4 linked regions of the Saccharomyces cerevisiae S288C genome follow. The gene in region 2 interacts genetically with the main gene of each other region. Each region holds a gene or a part of one and is shown on either strand. Other genes may lie near its edges.

Region 1 (5,200 bases), on a different chromosome or scaffold from region 2:
CTTTAAAAATTGTGTACTTCTTCTTAAAACAATTGGGAAGTATTTATTTTTCACGCTTTTGTAATCTGAAAAAAAAAAAAATATCAATGATATTCAACAGGCTAGCAACTAACGAAATCAAAAGAAATAAAATAAGCCATAAGCTATAGTATCATAAAGTCAAAATGCCTAGATTAGAAGAGATTGACGATTTCAATGATATCGACGACCTTGATATGGAATTGGCCGAGTTAGATCCATCTTTGAGGACGCCGATCGCTCCCAAGATAACGCCTAAGGTTGTAAGGAGCCAGGACCAAGAGAACCCTGCATTTTTACCTGGCACGAATAACAACAGTAATAGCAACAACAATAGTAGCAACGAAAAAGAGCAGTTGAGTTTTATTAACCCAAAAACTGGTAAGGTTGAACGTTCGGAGGCTATTTCGAAGAAAGATTTAGAAGAAGTCAAAAGATTCCAAGTACTCTATCCATGTTACTTTGACATAAACAGATCACATAAGGAAGGGAGAAGGGTTCCTAAGGAGTTGGCTGTTGAAAATCCTTTGGCTAAAACTATGGCAGATGCTGTCCGTGAATTGGGAATATTATGCATTTTTGAAGGTGAAAAATGTCACCCACAAGATTTTGGTAATCCTGGTAGAATTCGTGTACTTTTCAAAGAAAATGGACAATTAATTGGCGCAGCCACTAAATTCAAAGGTGGAAAGAGGCAATTAATGAAAGCTGTTGGGGAGTATATGAAAAGACATCCAACTACTATTGAATCTTTAAGGGAGATTCCATATGGCCCTGATTTCGACAATATTGAATTCAAAAAGATTCCACGTGTAAAGGGATTCAAAATGAATGAGATTGTTCCGCTGCATAGTCCGTTCTTGATGGGCCACCCAATGACAAAATCTGTTTACGAAACTCCTAAGATTACAGCGGCAGAAAAGTCGTTCAAGCCACCAAAAAATAAGTACAAAGTAGTTAGAAGATGATTGTCTCCTTTACCCATTTATGTATATGTATATGTATATTGAGATTAATATATTAATATATTAATAGATTATAATAGCAGAACTATAAGAATATGATGTTTGTTCAGATCAAGTGCTAAATGACTTGTTGTATCAGCTTTTAAATTTTTACATCAAGACAAATCAATTATTCGTATTATTTCGTCTGTAGTTGAAACAGAGTTCAATAAGCCAAGAGTTTTGAAGCAGCTACAGGCAAGAGGTACCGAAACACAGAAAAAAGTAACAAGAAAACTCTCTCGCTCTATATATATGTGTGTGAATATACGCTATTTATACACATATATAGATGAGCGGCGTGCATGTATCGTAGTAACTAAGATTAATAGTTCTTAAAAGAGATAAATAAATCATTTAATTAAAAAACTGATTTTTAAGCGGAGGCACCGTAGGTTTGAAGGTATTGTTCGATCTTGCTTTTCTCTTCTGCTGTTATTCTGCCTTCCAAATAGGTAATTATGTGAATTAAGGAGACAATGCTCAAGACTGGGATACCGTATTTTTTGCTAACAGTTTGAGTGGCGCTGAGTCCTTCTTTATCGTCAGTACTCACAACTTCCTGTCTATCAAGAGCAATTATGGAGCCAACTACCTGACCCTTGGCGTTACTGATGATCTCAAAGGCCTCGTTAATGGCAGTACCAGCAGTCATGACGTCGTCGATGATTAATATTCTCTTGTTCTCTAGGGCAGAGCCGACAATGATACCACCTTCACCATGATCTTTGGCTTCCTTTCTGTTAAAAGCGTACTGAATGTTTTGAAATTTAGAGCCACCAATCTCCGCCAATTTCACACAAACAATAGCAGCAAGTGGGATACCTTTGTAGGCAGGACCGAAAATCACATCAAATTTCAAATCAGATTGTATGATGGCAATTGCATACGCAGTAGCCAAATTGGAAAGCAATTTACCAGTATTGAACAATCCCAAATTAAAGAAATATGGCGATTCTCTACCTGATTTCAACTTGAATGAACCAAATCTTAGAGCCTGGCATTCGATGGCCAACTCTAGAAAGTTCTTTTGGTAGTCTTCCAACATAATAGGCATTTTGAATAACTTTCTTAATCTTTAATTTTTTTGTGTATCCTTCATACAATGTCAGACACAATAATACGCAACCAAAATTCCGTTAGTAGTATATCGCAGAAGTAATGCTTTATGGAAATTTTGAATGAATCTTATTTGACAAATAAAAGCCTGTTAATAATAAGAAGTGTCTTTATTCAAAAAAGGAACGTAAAGTTGGAACAATGATTGAAATACCCCACAAAATTCTCCCAAAAAAAAAAAGACAAAATGCAATTTCCTTTTGAAATGTATTCAAAAAATAAATTTGTTAAAAACCTCTGATTGATGATGAGATCAAACTACCAAACAATTGTTATCAAATCAAAATGCTCTTTGTTTTGCTTATTGAATATGGAAAATGTTTGAAAAATTTTCAAGCGCTAGTCATTCGGAACGAAAGTAACTGTCATCTTGAAATCTATGGTAAAGGAGAAATAAAACATTATTCCCCAGGAATTGACAGGAAAGTAGGGCAGTTACTAATGGAAAAGGACGCATTGGAGGTTAGACTGAAGTCTATTAGACATTCGCTGGACAAGAATACCAAACTTTTACCGGGAAAATATAGGAATACTCTAGGAGAGCGACTTATTACCAAATGGAGGTACAAGAAGAAATCCCATAATGGCAGTTCAATGTTGCCTGAAAAATGTAAGAGCCACGTGCAATTGTATGATGATTTGGTACAAGAAAGCTCTAAACATTTTGTTGGTTTCCGATTACACGATCTTCGGGCCTTGTTGAAAAGAATATGCTCCATTCAAAACTACACAAGGCATGTGCTCATTGAATGGGACGTTCGATGGGTCAATCCACTGACTCTAGCATCCAAGGGCTGGGAGCCGTACCAAAGTGCATCCCAGTCGCAAGTGCCATTTAAGTGCTGTTGTTGCCATGCCATTATGACAATTCCTTTATTAAAAAATGGCGATGATGTCGCCGATTACACCATGAAATTGAATGAAAAAATCTGGAATTCCAATATAATTGGAAATCATCTCCAAAAGTGTCCGTGGAGGGAAAATCAGGTTGATTTAAACAAAGAGTATTATTTAAGCTCACAAAACCTTATAAGGGAAATTGAAAGAATTCATACAGAAATTGACAGAATTGTTTCCGGATCAAATGAATTTAGCCTTAAAAGAAACTCTTCCCGTATATTTCATTACTTGTCTGAGAAAGAAATACAAAAATTGGCATTTTTTTTCGATTGTAAAGACTATTCTCTCGTAGGTCTGTTGCTTCTCGGCTACACGAAATTCCAGAAGGATGATCTGGTTCAATGCACGGCTTGCTTTCATCGAGCATCCCTGAAGAAGTTAGAATATACAGAATTTAACGGACACGCTCTATGGTGTCGGTATTACAACAAAGAGTTGTTGCCCACAATGTTGCTGGAGTTAATCGGCAAGGAGGACAAACTAATAACGAAATTGGGCGTGGGAGAAAGACTAAATAAATTAGAGGCTGTTCTACAAACTTTATAAATTAGATGTAATACATTATCCAAATTCTCATATGCTTGTATATGCCCCCATGCTGATGCGCAGATTCTGTCACTCTCTCTTTAAATTACGTGCACATATGCATACGCAACAGTCACGTTATATTCATGCAAAAAACCGAAGCAACATCATTATTTCAGTTATTCTCTTCGACAAATTTCTTTACTTTTTCGACAACCTCTTCAATTTCCTTATCTAGCATAAGTACAATTAAACCATCGCTACTAATTTCGTATTTGATATGACCTTCGTTCGGTATACATATTTCGGCATCGAACTTATCAAACCAGGTATTTAATTCGTCCAGTTCGTCAACATTAAATGGAAGTATCAACTCGTCAACAAATTCATGCATTTTTCCCGGCTTACCTTTCAAAAATTTTTCATCTTCTTTATTTATCTTGGTGTCGTCTTCTAGTAAGACGAGCATCCTATAAGTATTACTCTTGGACATTTCGTTTTTCTCTTTCGTCTTAGTGTAGTACGAGATAGAATTCAACCGCAAGGTAGCCTTGCTGTATTGGACAGATCATTCGAATTTGTTCCAAATAGGATGAGATGAGGTCGGCTTTTCTTCATTCTCGCTAGAAAATTTAAAAAAAAAGAAAAAAATAATTACATAAATATATATTTATATGTATATACTGTAGTCCTTCCTTGCATGAAAAGACGACGTTTTTCGTGATAATAAGAAGTTTGACACTAAAAGGGCATCCTTACAATACTTGAAATATGTGGCCTTATATAGGTATCTATCAATCTTGTAAACAGTTATGAGTTAAATGTCTGGAATTAAGATTGTGCCATCAGAATCATTTTTGTCCATCATTCCCAAGGCAGAATCACCATTGAAGGCTATATCTCCAGTGCCCACCTGCTCCATGTATAAGGTATGATTGACTAAATTCAAGTAGGAGTACATGAAGTTACTTAGCAATACTTGTTGTCTTAATTCCCTCCCGGGATCGCTAAGCTTCAGATGGCTGAGTCTGTAAATAGCCCTTTCAACATTAATTCCTAGACGATGGTCAAACATAATCACTGTAGAGTTGGTTATCATTGGTAATGGGAATCCAAAAGCACTGTCTGTGAATTTTATTGGAGCGTTTGAGTAATCTGGTTTAACGACATCTTCAAATGTCAATTTTCTTGGAGGCAAAGTTGAGATTTGAGGGGCAGTAGGTGAAGTGTTGTCTTCTCTCTCTGCTCCTATATCCTCTTCTAGTCCAGCTGTCGTATCTCTACTGATACTAGAGTGCACTTCGACGTCGTAGTTTACATCACCACCACTAATATCAAATGAATCGTCGCCATCTAACTCGCTTATAGTTTCCACCACAAATTCAGAACTGTGGCTAGTATGGCTGTCAGGAAGAAGGGTGGAAGCATTTGAACTTCTCACTTCTGGTTCAATGACGCTTGCTGTATCTATATCTTCGGTGGTAATTGTTTTGGTGGGGGATGAAGGGCGTTCAACTTCCGCTTCTTGGGGCTTTTTCTTGGGACTTTTCCTGAATTTTGATAAACTCGAATGCGAAGCCTTCTTTTTCAGTTCTTTTTTAACACTTTTTTTGATTACTTTCACATCTGATTTG
Region 2 (4,503 bases):
CATCGGTGGTAGCCGTGGAATTGGTTTTAATTTGGTCAAAATTTTAAGCGCTTCTACGGGCAATACAGTTATAACCTCTATTCGTGGATCACCTTCATTACCCAAGAACAAACAAGTGGAAGATTTAGCAAAAATCAGGAAGAATATCCATATTGTCCAACTTGACCTTACAAAGGACGAAAGTATTGGCAATATTGCGGACGAGATCAAGAAAACGCCATTCTTCTTGGGTATTGATATTTTTATCGCATGTTCTGCAGTATCTGATTCTTATTACAAGGTCCTGGAAACTCCCAAATCAGTCTGGCTCAACCATTATAGCACAAACGCTCTGGGTCCGATACTAGCCCTTCAAAAAGTTTATCCACTGCTTCTTTTGAAAAAGACGAGGAAGATATTCTTTATCTCTAGTGTTGCAGGATCTATCAATGCGTTTGTACCACTTTCTGTTTCCGCTTATGGTCAATCGAAAGCTGCCTTGAATTATGCGGTAAAGACGCTCAGTTTTGAATTGAAACCGGAGGGTTTTACTGTCGTTGCTTTTCACCCAGGTATGGTATCTACTGATATGGGCCAATATGGCCTTGATCATTTTAAAGAGAAGAATATAGACATCAGCGGCGTAAATATTATCACACCAGAAGAAAGTGCCTCTGCGCTAATTGATGTCTTCCGAAAAATTTTACCAGAAGATAATGGAAAGTTCTTCAACTATGACGGCAGCGAAGGCGTCTTTTAGATAAGTGCAAATTTGGCTACTTATATACAACTCAGATACGGAATATACCTTTGTGTAATACACTTTTTTATTGGTAGGTGCTATATGATGTGACTTTGCTTTTGCCTCACGCCCCTTTAAGAAGGTATTTTGTGGCATCACTTTGTATGCTGATCTTTTAACGCTTAACCAGATTTGAAACTATCTCTATTATGTCCTCTGATTTTAATTAGGATGGTATATAACTGGTCCTAGAACCGAAGATTCTGCATATTCGCCGAAAACCATCCCTTAATATTATAGACATAAATTGCCAGTCTGAGAAGAATCCAAGAATCTATTTCATAATGTACATTCCTAAACATTTTGAGTCCATGGAACTCTCAAGGTACAAATTATCAAAAAAACCCCCGCTAGGAACACTATTCTCCTCTAAGGCTAGCAGGCAAGGTTTCTTCGGATGGAGAACTTCTTCCAATAAAGATGACCCCGATTTTGGTATGTGCGCATCACATATTCCATTTGTATTCGTGGAGTTCGATAATGGAGAGCATAAACTTATTGCACATTTAGCACGGAAGAATAAACATGTGGAAATGCTGGAAAGAGTTCAAAAATGCTTAGTGGTATTTCAGAGCGTCGATTCATACATTTCTCCGGCGTGGTTCCCAATGAAGAAAAAGACCCATAAGTTCGTACCAACATGGGATTTTGCCGCTGTGCACGTTTACGGTACACCAAGGATTATCCGCGACGATAAAGACTGGCTTATTAATATGTTATCAACTTTGACTGACCAAGAAGAAGAGAAAAGACCTGAGGGGGAAAATGTACGAAGTAAAGTGGAGCGTTTCTGATGCCCCAGATTATTATATCAATGCTATGCTTCAAAACATTGTCGGGCTTGAAATCAGTATTACCCATATTCAATCAAAGTTCAAATTCGACCAAAATAAATCACAGATTAATGTTGAAGGCATATGTTGAAAATTCAAAGAATTTGGTGGAGAAAGAGGCCAAGAAATGGCTCGCCTTGTAAAAGATAACTATCCAGGTAGCTTATAAGTTTTGTATTTTCTCTGCGCATTAAATATCAATAATTATTTATTCGTTTTCATTCTTTTCTTATCTTATCTTTTAATATTGACTTAACAGAGGGCAAGGCCCACCGTGATGCAGAAAGAACACAAACGCAAAGGTTTACCTATTCCCTGCAGTTAGAAAACCATGTTTGGAGGAAATGAAGAAAGATATTTACAGTTGAGTTTACAACGAAGTATTATCCTTTTTAACGAACGCTAATATCATCGGTTTCTTCATGTTTATATGATGACGATTTTCCCAAATGTAAGCAAACAAAGGCGTTTGCTGATAAAACAAATCCGTAAATTAGAAAAAAAAACAAAAAAAAACAAACAGATATGGGCTCATCAACCGGGTTTCATCATGCCGATCATGTTAACTATTCTTCAAATCTGAATAAGGAAGAAATTCTAGAACAGCTTCTGCTTTCATACGAGGGGCTATCAGATGGACAAGTCAATTGGGTTTGTAATTTGTCAAACGCTTCGTCATTGATCTGGCATGCGTACAAGTCATTAGCTGTTGATATCAATTGGGCTGGATTTTACGTTACTCAAGCTAGCGAAGAAAACACACTGATATTGGGCCCATTTCAAGGAAAGGTCGCTTGCCAAATGATTCAATTCGGTAAAGGTGTTTGCGGAACTGCAGCCTCTACAAAGGAAACGCAGATTGTTCCAGATGTCAACAAGTATCCCGGTCATATTGCGTGCGACGGTGAAACCAAGAGCGAAATTGTTGTTCCAATCATATCCAATGATGGTAAGACATTGGGCGTCATAGACATAGATTGTTTGGATTACGAAGGATTCGACCACGTAGACAAAGAATTCCTAGAAAAACTTGCTAAATTAATTAATAAATCATGTGTCTTTAAATAAGAGTTTTGAGAACGAACAAGTATTTACGCACATAACCAATATTCCCATGTAGCTCTCTTGTCAAATATATTGTCGGACGGGCACGAATAGAGATAAACATCAAGAAAGATTGAGGGGCTTCAGGAGATCATTGGTGAAGAAAACATTCCCTGTTCGCCAAATTGACAGCTCTCAATCTTTATTTGTAACCCTTATTGCAAATTTATGGCATGTTTACCCTCAAACAAAGGATATTCAGCATTTATTAAAAATATCTTTGCTTGGTAAGAAAAAAACGTCAACGAAAATGACGGAGATATCTGACGGAAAAAAAAATTGATTTCGCCCAGGATCGAACTGGGGACGTTCTGCGTGTTAAGCAGATGCCATAACCGACTAGACCACGAAACCACTTAATTGTTGAATAACGGACATCTAAAGTCATATCTATAGTGCAGCAAGTTCTTCTTCAGCTCACCCCAGTCTCGCTAAAGGCATGCTTACTTTGCCGTAAAGAAGAAAGGAACGTTCAAAATGTGTTTGATGCGTAACTGTGATGATTTTCTATCATTTACTTGCATGATATCGGTGAAAATTCTAGCTAGATTTATCAATGCATAGAAGCAGTAAGTGATGCCACAGATATGAGCTTTTCTCTGTGGCGAGGTCTTTGAGAAATTAAGTGGCTTGTACAGTTTTCACATGACGATTGGAAATGTTGAAAAAAGAGCCTAAAAATAGGCCTTATCGAACAACATTAAACTAATAATCTTCTGGATGCGATAGTCTTACTTGATAAAAATCATTGGCGATATTGTGTTACCTGGATTATCAAGCTCGCCACTAAAGGTGTCTGGATCCTTACTCAATACAAAGTCCAAGGAAAGGTGTGCCACAGGAAGAGGTAGCATCCCTTTATTTCTTTTCAAGGAAAGAAGCATTTTCAATCACATATGTATACAATAGTCTTCCGTGTGGCTGCACCGCACCACCTTGCAGGTCCCGTGTATGTAGGAGTCGCATGCGAATAAAAAATTGAGAAAGATCATGGGGTTTTTTGTTCACGCGGGCCGCAGTTGTGGCTCCTCTGTCACTTTTTTGCCCTCTGCTAAGGGCAAAAAAGAAAAAAAAACGCAACGAGAAAATTAAAAGTGTGGCATTTCGACATCTATCGCCATTCGTGCGGCCATTTCTCGAAACAACGCTAAACTTTTGTTTCGACTGTGAGGCCCTAGAACAGTTCGATTCTGATGTAGGCAATGGAAGAAACAATCATATATAACTACAGAACCTAATGTTACATGCTTGCATCTCTCAGCTCCCGCGAATTTTCAAGTGAGACTTAATGGTAGCCATCTAGTAACTCATAAATCAACGACATTATATATCATCAACTACAATGCAGGCAAACCATTCCGTCAGTTACCTTTACGAATCAAGTACTTCAAAGAGGTCAAATGGGCTCTTTTCTCAAACACAAAAGCAAGGAAGTTTTCAAAAAGCTTTAAGTCAAACTCAGGAAGAAATAGAAGATGAAGACCTGATGGTAGACCTCAACACAGGATCTTTAACTCCCGTTAAGTTAAAATATTGGACTCAAATGAGTGCTATGACGGAAAAATTTGGTAAACTGTGAGACCAATTTTGGCGGTAATTTCGTTTAGCTGTTTTATTTTCACATTTTTAATTGTCAATGCTGGAGGTTGTTAAAGTTTGGCTAGCTGTTCTGAACAATCCTTGTATACCGGTGAGACTTTTTGTTATAGATATTGGCGATATTCATTTTTTAGGAAGGTGTTTTTATAGATTTTTCAATTTTTTTTGTGTAGATGCATGTTTTGA
Region 3 (5,656 bases), on a different chromosome or scaffold from region 2:
TCAAAAATAATGTTTTTTTGTTTGCCCAGTCGGTTTACGCTAATCAAGAACATGGATTCAATATCTTACATAATAAGCGGACGATGAGTCTATCTCGGTTTCCTCTTTTCTGAAATATAATAGTTTTATATTAGTGATTCATTATTACGATCTGGCCGGCTTATCATTGCTTCTTTTACAAACGTATCCTTTTAAGATTTTATCCGGACCACTGAGCTGGCATTTTTCTTAGCTTGCTTTTGTCTTTGTTGCACGGGCGACTGAACTTCTTGGAAAATCATGTAAGCCGCAATTGCTTACTAAGTCAAAATTCTAATGGATTCTCCTCTCGAATAAAATTGAATAGTCTGAGCAGTGAAAAAAATGTATATCTTATGTGTGAATGTTATATACCATAATCTAACGAAAGATAGCGAATTAAAGACCGGTCTGTGGCACTCGTAAATATTACCAACAAAGAAAGTTCCCAATATAATCATATAGAAAATGTCAAATTCTCCAACAGTAGCAACTTTGTCACAAGAATATTTCGATCCGAATATTCCTCAAATACTCCCACACGAGAAAATGTATAAGATTCAGGTGGGGAAATCATTATTCAAAATCAGCGGTGCTTCTTTAAGCTCGGATGGTCCTAGTTTCTTCACCGAATATTTTTCTAAGAAGCGCTCTCCTTCCAATAACGATGACAGTAATAACGATACCATGGAATCTAATAAAAATGAGGTTCTATTCATAGACAGATCAGCCGAAGTTTTTGAATGGATCTATCAACATTTGCAAGGATATATAATTGAGATTAAGGATGAAGTACAATATACCATGCTTTTCGCAGATGCGATGTACTACAATTTACCGCGATTGCGATCTTTACTGAAAGAAACGGACTATTATTTTACCAACATTGGTGGACAATCATTCAAGATAGCGAAAAATTTATTTAGAAGAGAAGGAGATTCCCCAAATTATTTCGAAATATATGCGGCTACAGTTTATATCGATGTGGAAGAGCTGATAATATCTAAAAAACTATTAAGGCCTCCATCTCATTCTGCTCCTTACATTCCAAGATCTTCTGAGTACTTCAAAGATTTGCTGACGTTACTGGGAGGAGCATCCATCGATCTAGATGATAATAAAAGAAATGCCTTGATAAAAGAGTGCCGTTATTACAGGCTTTTAAATCTCGAACAGCGGCTAATCAAATCTCATATTAGCTATAACCCAATAACAAGGAAAGAAGAGATTTGCCTCCTATTGAAGGATTTGTCAAAAAAAGGCATCACTTTTCCAGCTTCTTCTGCATTTTCAACCTCGCCCTACTTTGAAGACGATTTCTGTAGCATAAATGAATGCGACTCGCTATCAAAAACCCGTGAACAGCCAGCAAATAAAAAGATTAAACTTGACATGACTGAAAAATATAACGATTCCTGGAATATGCTTTGTTATAAGAGACCTTTTTTAGATAAGCATCCGAGAGAGTTGATATTTCAAATAAATTCGACTGATTGTACGATAATCCTCAATAAGGAAAGCCAAAGTATCCATGTAGACATAACTGGAGAATCCGCCTATAAGTTTGAGGCCTTATTTGGAAGTCATTTGCCAAATACACCCTCTGGTGCGCCTAAGTTGAAAAATTACCAGTATCGGTTCCCATCCGATAGTACGCAGACGAAAATTGAAACTCATTATTTACTTCCAGCATGCATATATCTCTGTGATTTGGACATAAACGGCATTAAGATTTCTCAAGTTCAAACTTTGCTAACTGATAAAAATAAATTCAATGACAGGGTCATTGACGTGTCTGATCCACTTGACCTTAGATTTTGTTCTGGTTTAAAGCTTTACTTAAGAAAGTCTCTCTGGAAACTGGCCGTGAAAGATGGCAATATTATGCTGATAGCTATTAAAGCTATAGCATTTAACGGAACTAAGGAATACTACAAGGGATATGAATATCTGTAGGATTAGCTTGATAAAATTACTCTTCTGCCAAGCTTTTAAGTATATGTATGCTCTCCGTTGTATTTTTTATATGCCATTATAGTACTTGAAGTATAACGGAAACCCATTGTAACTCACATTCCTGTAGTAGCTTCTTTTCTTACTTTTTGTAGGCTCTTGTCTCTTTTCTCTTGTTATTTATCAGTTAATATGTAAGAAAAAAATCGACTTCGGGAATTAGGATACAGACACCTCTTAAAACCAGAGATAAAGTAACGTAGAGAAAATAGTAGGATAATGTGTGCAAAAAGAAGAAACTTTGGTGTCTTAAAATAGATAAAAATAACCCTACTGCCAATTTGAAAGGGCCCGAAAAATGTTTGATAAGTTACCTTATGAGATTTTTAAACAAATTGCCTGGAGAATTCCGCAGGAAGATAAAATTTCGTTAACATATGTATGCAAAAGATCCTATGAATCAATTATACCTTTCATCTACCAGAATTTATTTCTTAATGAAACCTATCACATCAATGGTGACTATGATAACTCATTTGGAACCTGTTATTGGTCTGTCCTAAACTTTCACTACATAGATGAAGATGATTCCAATACTAAAAACGACATGTCGAATAGAAGACTAGCTAAAGTGAAATTTAGTTATTTCGAAAGAACATTAGCAGAGTCACCGAAAAGATTATGTCCCTTAATTAATCGAATACGTTGTACATGGCATTTAAATGAAGATGTGATGACAAATGTACTTAAATTGCTATCCGAGTATGGATCCAATTTGAAATTTGTCGATCAATTTGTTCGCTCATCAGTTAACAAGGGGCTAGAACCTTTATCAAAGCAATTAAAAACTCTAACATTAACGCCACCAACGTTAATGCCCACCCATAACAGTGTAAGCGGTTCTTATTTGAATAAAATTGATCGGTTGCTCTTGAAGTGCGATCTATCTCGATTAGAAAAACTTTCCATTCATATAAACGCATTGAAGTACTTCAAAAATACCGGGTCTCCTATGAAGATCAAAGCATTGGTATTAAATTTGCGACCCGACACACTTAACCTTGCGGAGTACGACGCTTCCGATGACTTCTTAAAAGAGCTAGAATACATCGACATATTTGATGCTTCCACCTTAAGGCAGCTAGAGATTTTGTCTTGGTACAGTCGCGACGATTTTCCCTCTGGCGAAGAAGGTGGTTTTGACAGGTTATATGTCAAATGGGGGCTAGAAGGATTTTGGAAATTTCCGAACATTGAGAAACTATCATTAGCGTCATTGGTTTACAGCGAATTTTTTCTAATGAATTGTTTGGCTGTGTTTCACAATTTAAAGATACTGAAACTTGATTACATGGGTAAATTTGACTTCGATGTGTCGTTGATTAACTTCTTATCTAAACAAGTGTGTGGCAAAAAATTACAGCGTTTTGACATACACTGCCAACTAAATCACAGGCTTTTTTTTCCCATGACAGATAACCCACTAACTCGCTTGAATTTCGATGGTTTCTGCCCTTGTTCAACTTGCAAAAATACAATTCACGAGGTCATTCTAAAAAAAATCTTTCCTGAAACCCGGTCAAAACTTTTAAAGAACCCAAATAAGTTCCAAGCCCATAATTTCTTTTACCAAATGTTTTTCGAGAACAAGATCATGCCCTATACAAACATTATTGACAACGAATCACCTGCGATGGGATGGGATTCTGTACCTATTGAAACGTTTGTACGAAAGTTCAATGAAAATCTGCAAAGCACCATAGAAAATACTGAGAATATTACAGTGAATAAAATTACTAGAGAAGATGCCATTAGTTTGTACCACTTATACCTTCATTATCTAAAAGACGTATTTAAAGTTTTTGAGCAAAGTTTGCCGAACTTAGAATATCTAACCATCAACGGTATACCTACAAAAATAATACAAGTGGACGAGTTACAACGATGCGCGGTTCCCCTCTTCTATAATAATGGCTATAAAAGCAACTCTGTTTATGAATTGGTGGACGCAGAAGCTCTATTTAGTTGATACTGTGAGACATGGCGGTTATAACACGTACATAATGATATATACTCTAAATACTGCAAATTGTCAACAAGAGGAAATCAAAACAAATGGATTGTATAGTCTAGTTAGAGCTTTCTCAGTGTTCTCACTGGATTGCAGTGATGTGACATAGTTCAATAAAACAAATTATGAGCAATAAAAGCAACCGCAGGAGTTTACGTGACATAGGGAATACGATTGGTCGAAATAATATACCAAGTGACAAGGACAATGTCTTTGTGAGATTGAGTATGTCCCCTTTGAGGACGACAAGCCAAAAAGAGTTTTTGAAACCACCTATGAGGATATCACCTAACAAGACAGATGGAATGAAGCATAGTATACAAGTAACACCAAGAAGGATTATGTCGCCGGAATGTCTGAAGGGCTATGTCTCTAAGGAAACTCAAAGCCTGGATAGGCCTCAGTTCAAAAATTCGAATAAAAATGTGAAGATCCAAAACTCAGATCATATAACTAATATAATATTCCCTACATCACCAACCAAACTGACATTCAGTAATGAAAATAAAATCGGGGGTGATGGTTCGTTAACGAGAATACGGGCCCGGTTTAAGAATGGACTCATGTCACCTGAAAGGATACAGCAGCAACAGCAGCAACATATTCTCCCATCGGATGCCAAAAGCAACACTGACCTCTGTTCTAATACTGAGCTCAAGGACGCCCCATTTGAGAATGACCTTCCTCGAGCTAAATTGAAAGGGAAGAATTTATTAGTTGAACTCAAGAAAGAAGAGGAAGACGTGGGAAATGGCATAGAATCCCTTACTAAATCGAACACTAAACTGAATTCCATGCTGGCGAACGAAGGTAAGATACACAAAGCTAGTTTCCAGAAAAGTGTAAAATTTAAACTACCTGATAATATAGTGACTGAAGAAACCGTGGAACTTAAAGAAATAAAGGACTTGCTACTACAAATGTTGAGAAGACAGCGAGAGATTGAATCAAGATTATCCAATATCGAACTTCAACTCACGGAAATACCGAAACATAAGTAATCATATCCCTTCTCACATTTTTTACACAGGAAGTAAGCAAGTTATGTTATATTTCCGACACTATAATTAATTCTTAGCAGTTAAAGGTGCTTTGTCTATATTACATTTACATACAGCTTGAGTGATCCTGACCGGATATAGGGTCCTATTTTCTTACGTGAACGGCTTTTCTTCTTGTTCCCGATGGCCTTCATGTGAAAAAGCACTCCTCGGGAGGCGGAAAAATATCAAAAGTACGGGGCGAAGTTTATAATGAAGATTTATCGATATAAATTTTGGTTATTTCAGGAGAACAAGAAAGCTCTTTACACTAAAATTATCAGAGAAGAAGCTGATATATTAGCCCTAAGGAGTACACCAAAACACAATGAATATTGTCAAATTACAAGTATGTATGCCTTTCTCGAATTCCCACACTGCTGAGCACAGTGAAAAAGTTTTTTCTACCTTTTAGGTTGTAATAAACGTTTCATATACTAACAAACTCTTCTGCGATTAGAGAAAATTTCCAATTTTGACTCAAGAGGATCTTTTTTCCACAATTGAAAAGTTCAGAGCCATTGACTTAGATGATAAAGGATGGGTTGAAAAACAGCAAGCTCTAGAAGCGGTG
Region 4 (6,538 bases), on a different chromosome or scaffold from region 2:
AATGAACTCATGGAACCTGAGTTCTTCAATACCGATAATACATACGCCTCATGACCATCCCCCGACATCAGAAGGAACTCCAGATCAACCAAATAATAACCGAAAAGATGATAAACTGCACAAAAAAAGAGGCGATTCAGATGAGGACTTAAGCCCTATATGGCATTGTGTCGTCTCCGGTGGGATTGGTGGAAAAATAGGAGATTCTGCGATGCATTCATTGGATACTGTTAAGACAAGACAACAGGGCGCACCCAATGTCAAAAAATACAGGAACATGATCTCTGCATATCGTACCATTTGGCTAGAAGAAGGCGTGAGAAGGGGGCTATACGGCGGTTACATGGCTGCCATGTTAGGCTCCTTCCCGTCAGCGGCAATCTTCTTTGGGACCTATGAATATACTAAGAGAACAATGATAGAAGATTGGCAGATTAACGATACCATCACACATTTGAGCGCTGGATTTCTTGGCGATTTTATCTCCAGTTTTGTTTATGTTCCATCAGAGGTCCTAAAGACAAGGCTACAATTGCAAGGAAGGTTCAATAATCCTTTCTTTCAATCTGGCTATAATTATTCGAATTTAAGAAATGCCATAAAGACAGTTATAAAAGAAGAAGGGTTTCGCTCACTATTTTTTGGATACAAAGCCACTTTAGCCAGAGATTTGCCATTTAGTGCATTGCAGTTTGCCTTCTACGAAAAGTTTAGGCAATTGGCTTTCAAGATTGAACAGAAAGATGGTAGGGATGGTGAGTTGTCTATACCTAATGAAATATTGACTGGTGCCTGTGCAGGTGGACTGGCGGGAATCATTACCACACCAATGGATGTTGTTAAGACTAGAGTCCAAACTCAACAGCCGCCCAGCCAAAGCAACAAATCATACTCAGTAACACATCCACATGTAACAAACGGCAGACCGGCAGCACTTTCCAACTCGATTTCGCTCAGCCTTCGGACGGTCTACCAATCTGAAGGTGTGTTAGGTTTCTTTAGTGGCGTTGGCCCTAGATTCGTCTGGACAAGTGTTCAGAGCAGTATAATGTTGCTTCTGTATCAAATGACCCTACGCGGATTAAGTAACGCATTTCCAACGGACTAAGAGCCTGATTTCTGGCTCATCTAACTCTCTAGAGGATAATTTTATGTGATAAAACTTTTCCTACAAGCGGCTACAATAAAGACAGTACAAGGGACCTCACCCTATTCGCCATCACTGCACATCACAGTGGGTCTTGTACTTATCATTTCACATACATAGATATAGGTTCTTCCGAATAAGTTTTGTATATAGTCATTTACGGCAAGAATACTCATCTAAGTTTAATACGCATTTCTCTCTTCGTTCGCAGTTCCTAACACTGAGCGTTCTTGTTTGGAGGGCTCGTTTAAAAAAAAGTCTAACAAATGTGACAGATTTGCTTGAACAGGGTCCAAACTCATCTTGTATATCATAACACTACATCACTGGGAGACAAAATCGAAGTGCCCACGTGCTGCTCATTCTCTAAACGGTCTGTCGCGGGCCCTTTTCGTCCTTCGGTTTCCCTCCCTTTAGACAATGGGCTCTCTTTTCTCTATTATCTATCTCTTTTTCTCGGCTTTTCCGGCCAGCGTTGAAAGCAGCGCACGGTGAGGGTAGAAGGAAGAGCAAGGACAAGTGAAGAGTAGGCCATCGTGGGGGCTTGTGTTTATAAAGAAAATACATTCAACAATTTAGTAAAACGTGTTCAAGAAGTGTTAATCAGACCAATTGGACACTACACCTTCGTAATCACAGTTTTACCTTCTAAGAAACATACAGGGAAGAAATTACTGAAGATAGACACATCGGTCGATTATGCAGTACGTAGGCAGAGCTCTTGGGTCTGTGTCTAAAACATGGTCTTCTATCAATCCGGCTACGCTATCAGGTGCTATAGATGTCATTGTAGTGGAGCATCCAGACGGAAGGCTATCATGTTCTCCCTTTCATGTGAGGTTCGGCAAATTTCAAATTCTAAAGCCATCTCAAAAGAAAGTCCAAGTGTTTATAAATGAGAAACTGAGTAATATGCCAATGAAACTGAGTGATTCTGGAGAAGCCTATTTCGTTTTCGAGATGGGTGACCAGGTCACTGATGTCCCTGACGAATTGCTTGTGTCGCCCGTGATGAGCGCCACATCAAGCCCCCCTCAATCACCTGAAACATCCATCTTAGAAGGAGGAACCGAGGGTGAAGGTGAAGGTGAAAATGAAAATAAGAAGAAGGAAAAGAAAGTGCTAGAGGAACCAGATTTTTTAGATATCAATGACACTGGAGATTCAGGCAGTAAAAATAGTGAAACTACAGGGTCGCTTTCTCCTACTGAATCCTCTACAACGACACCACCAGATTCAGTTGAAGAGAGGAAGCTTGTTGAGCAGCGTACAAAGAACTTTCAGCAAAAACTAAACAAAAAACTCACTGAAATCCATATACCCAGTAAACTTGATAACAATGGCGACTTACTACTAGACACTGAAGGTTACAAGCCAAACAAGAATATGATGCATGACACAGACATACAACTGAAGCAGTTGTTAAAGGACGAATTCGGTAATGATTCAGATATTTCCAGTTTTATCAAGGAGGACAAAAATGGCAACATCAAGATCGTAAATCCTTACGAGCACCTTACTGATTTATCTCCTCCAGGTACGCCTCCAACAATGGCCACAAGCGGATCAGTTTTAGGCTTAGATGCAATGGAATCAGGAAGTACTTTGAATTCGTTATCTTCTTCACCTTCTGGTTCCGATACTGAGGACGAAACATCATTTAGCAAAGAACAAAGCAGTAAAAGTGAAAAAACTAGCAAGAAAGGAACAGCAGGGAGCGGTGAGACCGAGAAAAGATACATACGAACGATAAGATTGACTAATGACCAGTTAAAGTGCCTAAATTTAACTTATGGTGAAAATGATCTGAAATTTTCCGTAGATCACGGAAAAGCTATTGTTACGTCAAAATTATTCGTTTGGAGGTGGGATGTTCCAATTGTTATCAGTGATATTGATGGCACCATCACAAAATCGGACGCTTTAGGCCATGTTCTGGCAATGATAGGAAAAGACTGGACGCACTTGGGTGTAGCCAAGTTATTTAGCGAGATCTCCAGGAATGGCTATAATATACTCTATCTAACTGCAAGAAGTGCTGGACAAGCTGATTCCACGAGGAGTTATTTGCGATCAATTGAACAGAATGGCAGCAAACTACCAAATGGGCCTGTGATTTTATCACCCGATAGAACGATGGCTGCGTTAAGGCGGGAAGTAATACTAAAAAAACCTGAAGTCTTTAAAATCGCGTGTCTAAACGACATAAGATCCTTGTATTTTGAAGACAGTGATAACGAAGTGGATACAGAGGAAAAATCAACACCATTTTTTGCCGGCTTTGGTAATAGGATTACTGATGCTTTATCTTACAGAACTGTGGGGATACCTAGTTCAAGAATTTTCACAATAAATACAGAGGGTGAGGTTCATATGGAATTATTGGAGTTAGCAGGTTACAGAAGCTCCTATATTCATATCAATGAGCTTGTCGATCATTTCTTTCCACCAGTCAGCCTTGATAGTGTCGATCTAAGAACTAATACTTCCATGGTTCCTGGCTCCCCCCCTAATAGAACGTTGGATAACTTTGACTCAGAAATTACTTCAGGTCGCAAAACGCTATTTAGAGGCAATCAGGAAGAGAAATTCACAGACGTAAATTTTTGGAGAGACCCGTTAGTCGACATCGACAACTTATCGGATATTAGCAATGATGATTCTGATAACATCGATGAAGATACTGACGTATCACAACAAAGCAACATTAGTAGAAATAGGGCAAATTCAGTCAAAACCGCCAAGGTCACTAAAGCCCCGCAAAGAAATGTGAGCGGCAGCACAAATAACAACGAAGTTTTAGCCGCTTCGTCTGATGTAGAAAATGCGTCTGACCTGGTGAGTTCCCATAGTAGCTCAGGATCCACGCCCAATAAATCTACAATGTCCAAAGGGGACATTGGAAAACAAATATATTTGGAGCTAGGTTCTCCACTTGCATCGCCAAAACTAAGATATTTAGACGATATGGATGATGAAGACTCCAATTACAATAGAACTAAATCAAGGAGAGCATCTTCTGCAGCCGCGACTAGTATCGATAAAGAGTTCAAAAAGCTCTCTGTGTCAAAGGCCGGCGCTCCAACAAGAATTGTTTCAAAGATCAACGTTTCAAATGACGTACATTCACTTGGGAATTCAGATACCGAATCACGAAGGGAGCAAAGTGTTAATGAAACAGGGCGCAATCAGCTACCCCACAACTCAATGGACGATAAAGATTTGGATTCAAGAGTAAGCGATGAATTCGATGACGATGAATTCGACGAAGATGAATTCGAAGATTAAAGATTCTTGTAGCCGAATATTATTTATAACGATCCATACTGCATATTAAGTAAAATTATGAAGTACTAAGTAACAATTTTTCAATTTTATTTAAGAAAAGAGAAGGAAAAAAAAAAGAAGAAAATTTTTTGATAGAAGAAAAAGGTAAACGATGATTGTTACGTACCAAGTGTTCTTCTGAGCTATTTGGTAATTACATACTTCTTCGAAATGTCAAGGTAAATACTTTTCTATACGCACACGAAACTCGCTTGCTGCAACAGGTATTACGTCAGGTGAAAAAAGCGGCCAAGAGGCAATGCCGAAATACAATGCGTGTATAACAGGAAGAGGAGGGGTATAATAAAATCACCATAGTAGAAAAGACCAGAAAGATTTCTATTGCAATCCTGTGTGACTCTTTTGGTTTTTCCCTTTGGTATCTCCCGGTTCTTTTGTCAATTTTTCGTTAAACTGCAGTGAAATAAGAAAAAGGTGCATGATAAAGATATGGATAACACGACCAATATTAATACAAATGAGCGCTCTAGTAACACGGATTTTAGCTCAGCTCCCAATATCAAAGGTTTGAATAGCCATACTCAGTTGCAGTTTGATGCGGATTCTCGAGTTTTCGTTTCGGATGTAATGGCTAAGAACTCTAAGCAATTATTGTACGCCCATATTTATAACTATTTAATCAAAAACAATTACTGGAACTCTGCCGCAAAATTTTTAAGCGAAGCTGACCTTCCTTTATCTAGAATAAACGGATCTGCTTCGGGTGGGAAAACTAGCTTGAACGCCAGCCTGAAGCAGGGATTAATGGATATTGCATCTAAGGGTGACATTGTTAGTGAAGATGGGCTATTACCTTCGAAAATGCTGATGGACGCTAATGACACGTTTTTACTGGAATGGTGGGAAATTTTTCAATCATTGTTCAATGGAGACCTAGAATCTGGGTACCAACAGGATCATAATCCTTTAAGAGAGAGAATAATACCAATTTTGCCAGCTAATTCTAAATCTAATATGCCTTCCCATTTCTCTAATCTCCCACCAAATGTGATTCCACCAACTCAAAATAGTTTTCCAGTTTCAGAGGAGAGTTTTAGGCCCAATGGTGACGGAAGTAACTTTAATTTAAACGATCCAACCAATCGAAACGTCTCCGAAAGATTTCTATCGAGAACTTCCGGTGTCTACGACAAACAGAATAGCGCTAATTTTGCACCTGATACTGCTATAAACAGTGATATTGCTGGGCAGCAGTACGCAACTATAAATCTACATAAACACTTCAATGATTTGCAATCACCAGCACAGCCCCAGCAATCATCTCAACAGCAGATCCAGCAGCCTCAGCATCAACCCCAGCATCAACCGCAACAGCAACAGCAACAGCAACAACAACAACAACAACAGCAACAGCAACAGCAACAGCAACAGCAGCAACAGCAACAGCAACAGCAACAACATCAACAGCAGCAACAGACACCGTATCCTATTGTCAACCCACAAATGGTCCCTCATATTCCATCGGAAAATTCTCATTCAACCGGACTTATGCCTTCAGTGCCTCCTACAAATCAACAATTTAATGCACAAACCCAATCTTCAATGTTTTCAGACCAGCAGCGCTTCTTTCAATATCAATTACACCACCAAAATCAAGGACAGGCGCCATCTTTTCAGCAAAGCCAATCTGGCAGGTTTGATGACATGAACGCTATGAAAATGTTTTTTCAGCAGCAAGCACTACAGCAAAATTCACTACAGCAAAATCTTGGAAATCAAAATTATCAATCTAATACACGTAACAATACTGCGGAAGAAACTACGCCCACAAATGACAATAACGCAAATGGCAATAGTTTATTGCAAGAACACATACGAGCCCGCTTCAATAAGATGAAAACAATTCCTCAACAAATGAAAAATCAAAGCACTGTCGCAAATCCGGTTGTTAGTGATATAACATCTCAACAGCAGTACATGCATATGATGATGCAAAGAATGGCGGCTAACCAGCAATTACAAAATAGTGCCTTTCCTCCAGACACTAATCGTATAGCGCCAGCTAACAACACTATGCCATTACAACCAGGAAATATGGGGTCT

The links.
Region 1: mutations in YKL069W (region 2) and PML39 together harm fitness more than expected from each alone (negative genetic interaction), as found in Saccharomyces cerevisiae (2 studies listed by BioGRID).
Region 3: mutations in YKL069W (region 2) and YDR131C together harm fitness more than expected from each alone (negative genetic interaction), as found in Saccharomyces cerevisiae (2 studies listed by BioGRID).
Region 4: mutations in YKL069W (region 2) and PAH1 together harm fitness more than expected from each alone (negative genetic interaction), as found in Saccharomyces cerevisiae (2 studies listed by BioGRID).

What each region holds. Positions count from the first base shown.
Region 1 is NC_001145.3:53,652-58,851, reverse strand, and holds PML39 (Pml39p), read left to right. Parts: upstream 1-2,582; coding exon 2,583-3,587; downstream 3,588-5,200. Other genes in the region: RNA-binding signal recognition particle subunit SEC65, read left to right, coding at 165-986; orotate phosphoribosyltransferase URA5, read right to left, coding at 1,399-2,079; YML108W (uncharacterized protein), read right to left, coding at 3,742-4,059; ZDS2 (Zds2p), read right to left, coding at 4,384-5,200. UniProt on the Saccharomyces cerevisiae protein: Involved in the nuclear retention of improperly spliced pre-mRNAs.
Region 2 is NC_001143.9:305,146-309,648, forward strand, and holds YKL069W (L-methionine (R)-S-oxide reductase), read left to right. Parts: upstream 1-2,139; coding exon 2,140-2,682; downstream 2,683-4,503. Other genes in the region: OSI1 (Osi1p), read left to right, coding at 1-739; YKL070W (uncharacterized protein), read left to right, coding at 1,066-1,575; YKL068W-A (uncharacterized protein), read left to right, coding at 4,061-4,297. UniProt on the Saccharomyces cerevisiae protein: Catalyzes the reversible oxidation-reduction of the R-enantiomer of free methionine sulfoxide to methionine. Does not act on S-enantiomer of free methionine sulfoxide or R-enantiomer of dabsylated methionine sulfoxide.
Region 3 is NC_001136.10:715,134-720,789, reverse strand, and holds YDR131C (uncharacterized protein), read left to right. Parts: upstream 1-2,329; coding exon 2,330-4,000; downstream 4,001-5,656. Other genes in the region: MRX16 (Mrx16p), read left to right, coding at 487-1,974; FIN1 (Fin1p), read left to right, coding at 4,168-5,043; SAC6 (fimbrin), read left to right, coding at 5,411-5,431, 5,543-5,656. UniProt on the Saccharomyces cerevisiae protein: Substrate recognition component of a SCF (SKP1-CUL1-F-box protein) E3 ubiquitin-protein ligase complex which mediates the ubiquitination and subsequent proteasomal degradation of target proteins. Probably recognizes and binds to phosphorylated target proteins.
Region 4 is NC_001145.3:587,937-594,474, reverse strand, and holds PAH1 (phosphatidate phosphatase PAH1), read left to right. Parts: upstream 1-1,846; coding exon 1,847-4,435; downstream 4,436-6,538. Other genes in the region: MME1 (Mme1p), read left to right, coding at 2-1,108; MSS11 (Mss11p), read left to right, coding at 4,925-6,538. UniProt on the Saccharomyces cerevisiae protein: Mg(2+)-dependent phosphatidate (PA) phosphatase which catalyzes the dephosphorylation of PA to yield diacylglycerol. Required for de novo lipid synthesis and formation of lipid droplets.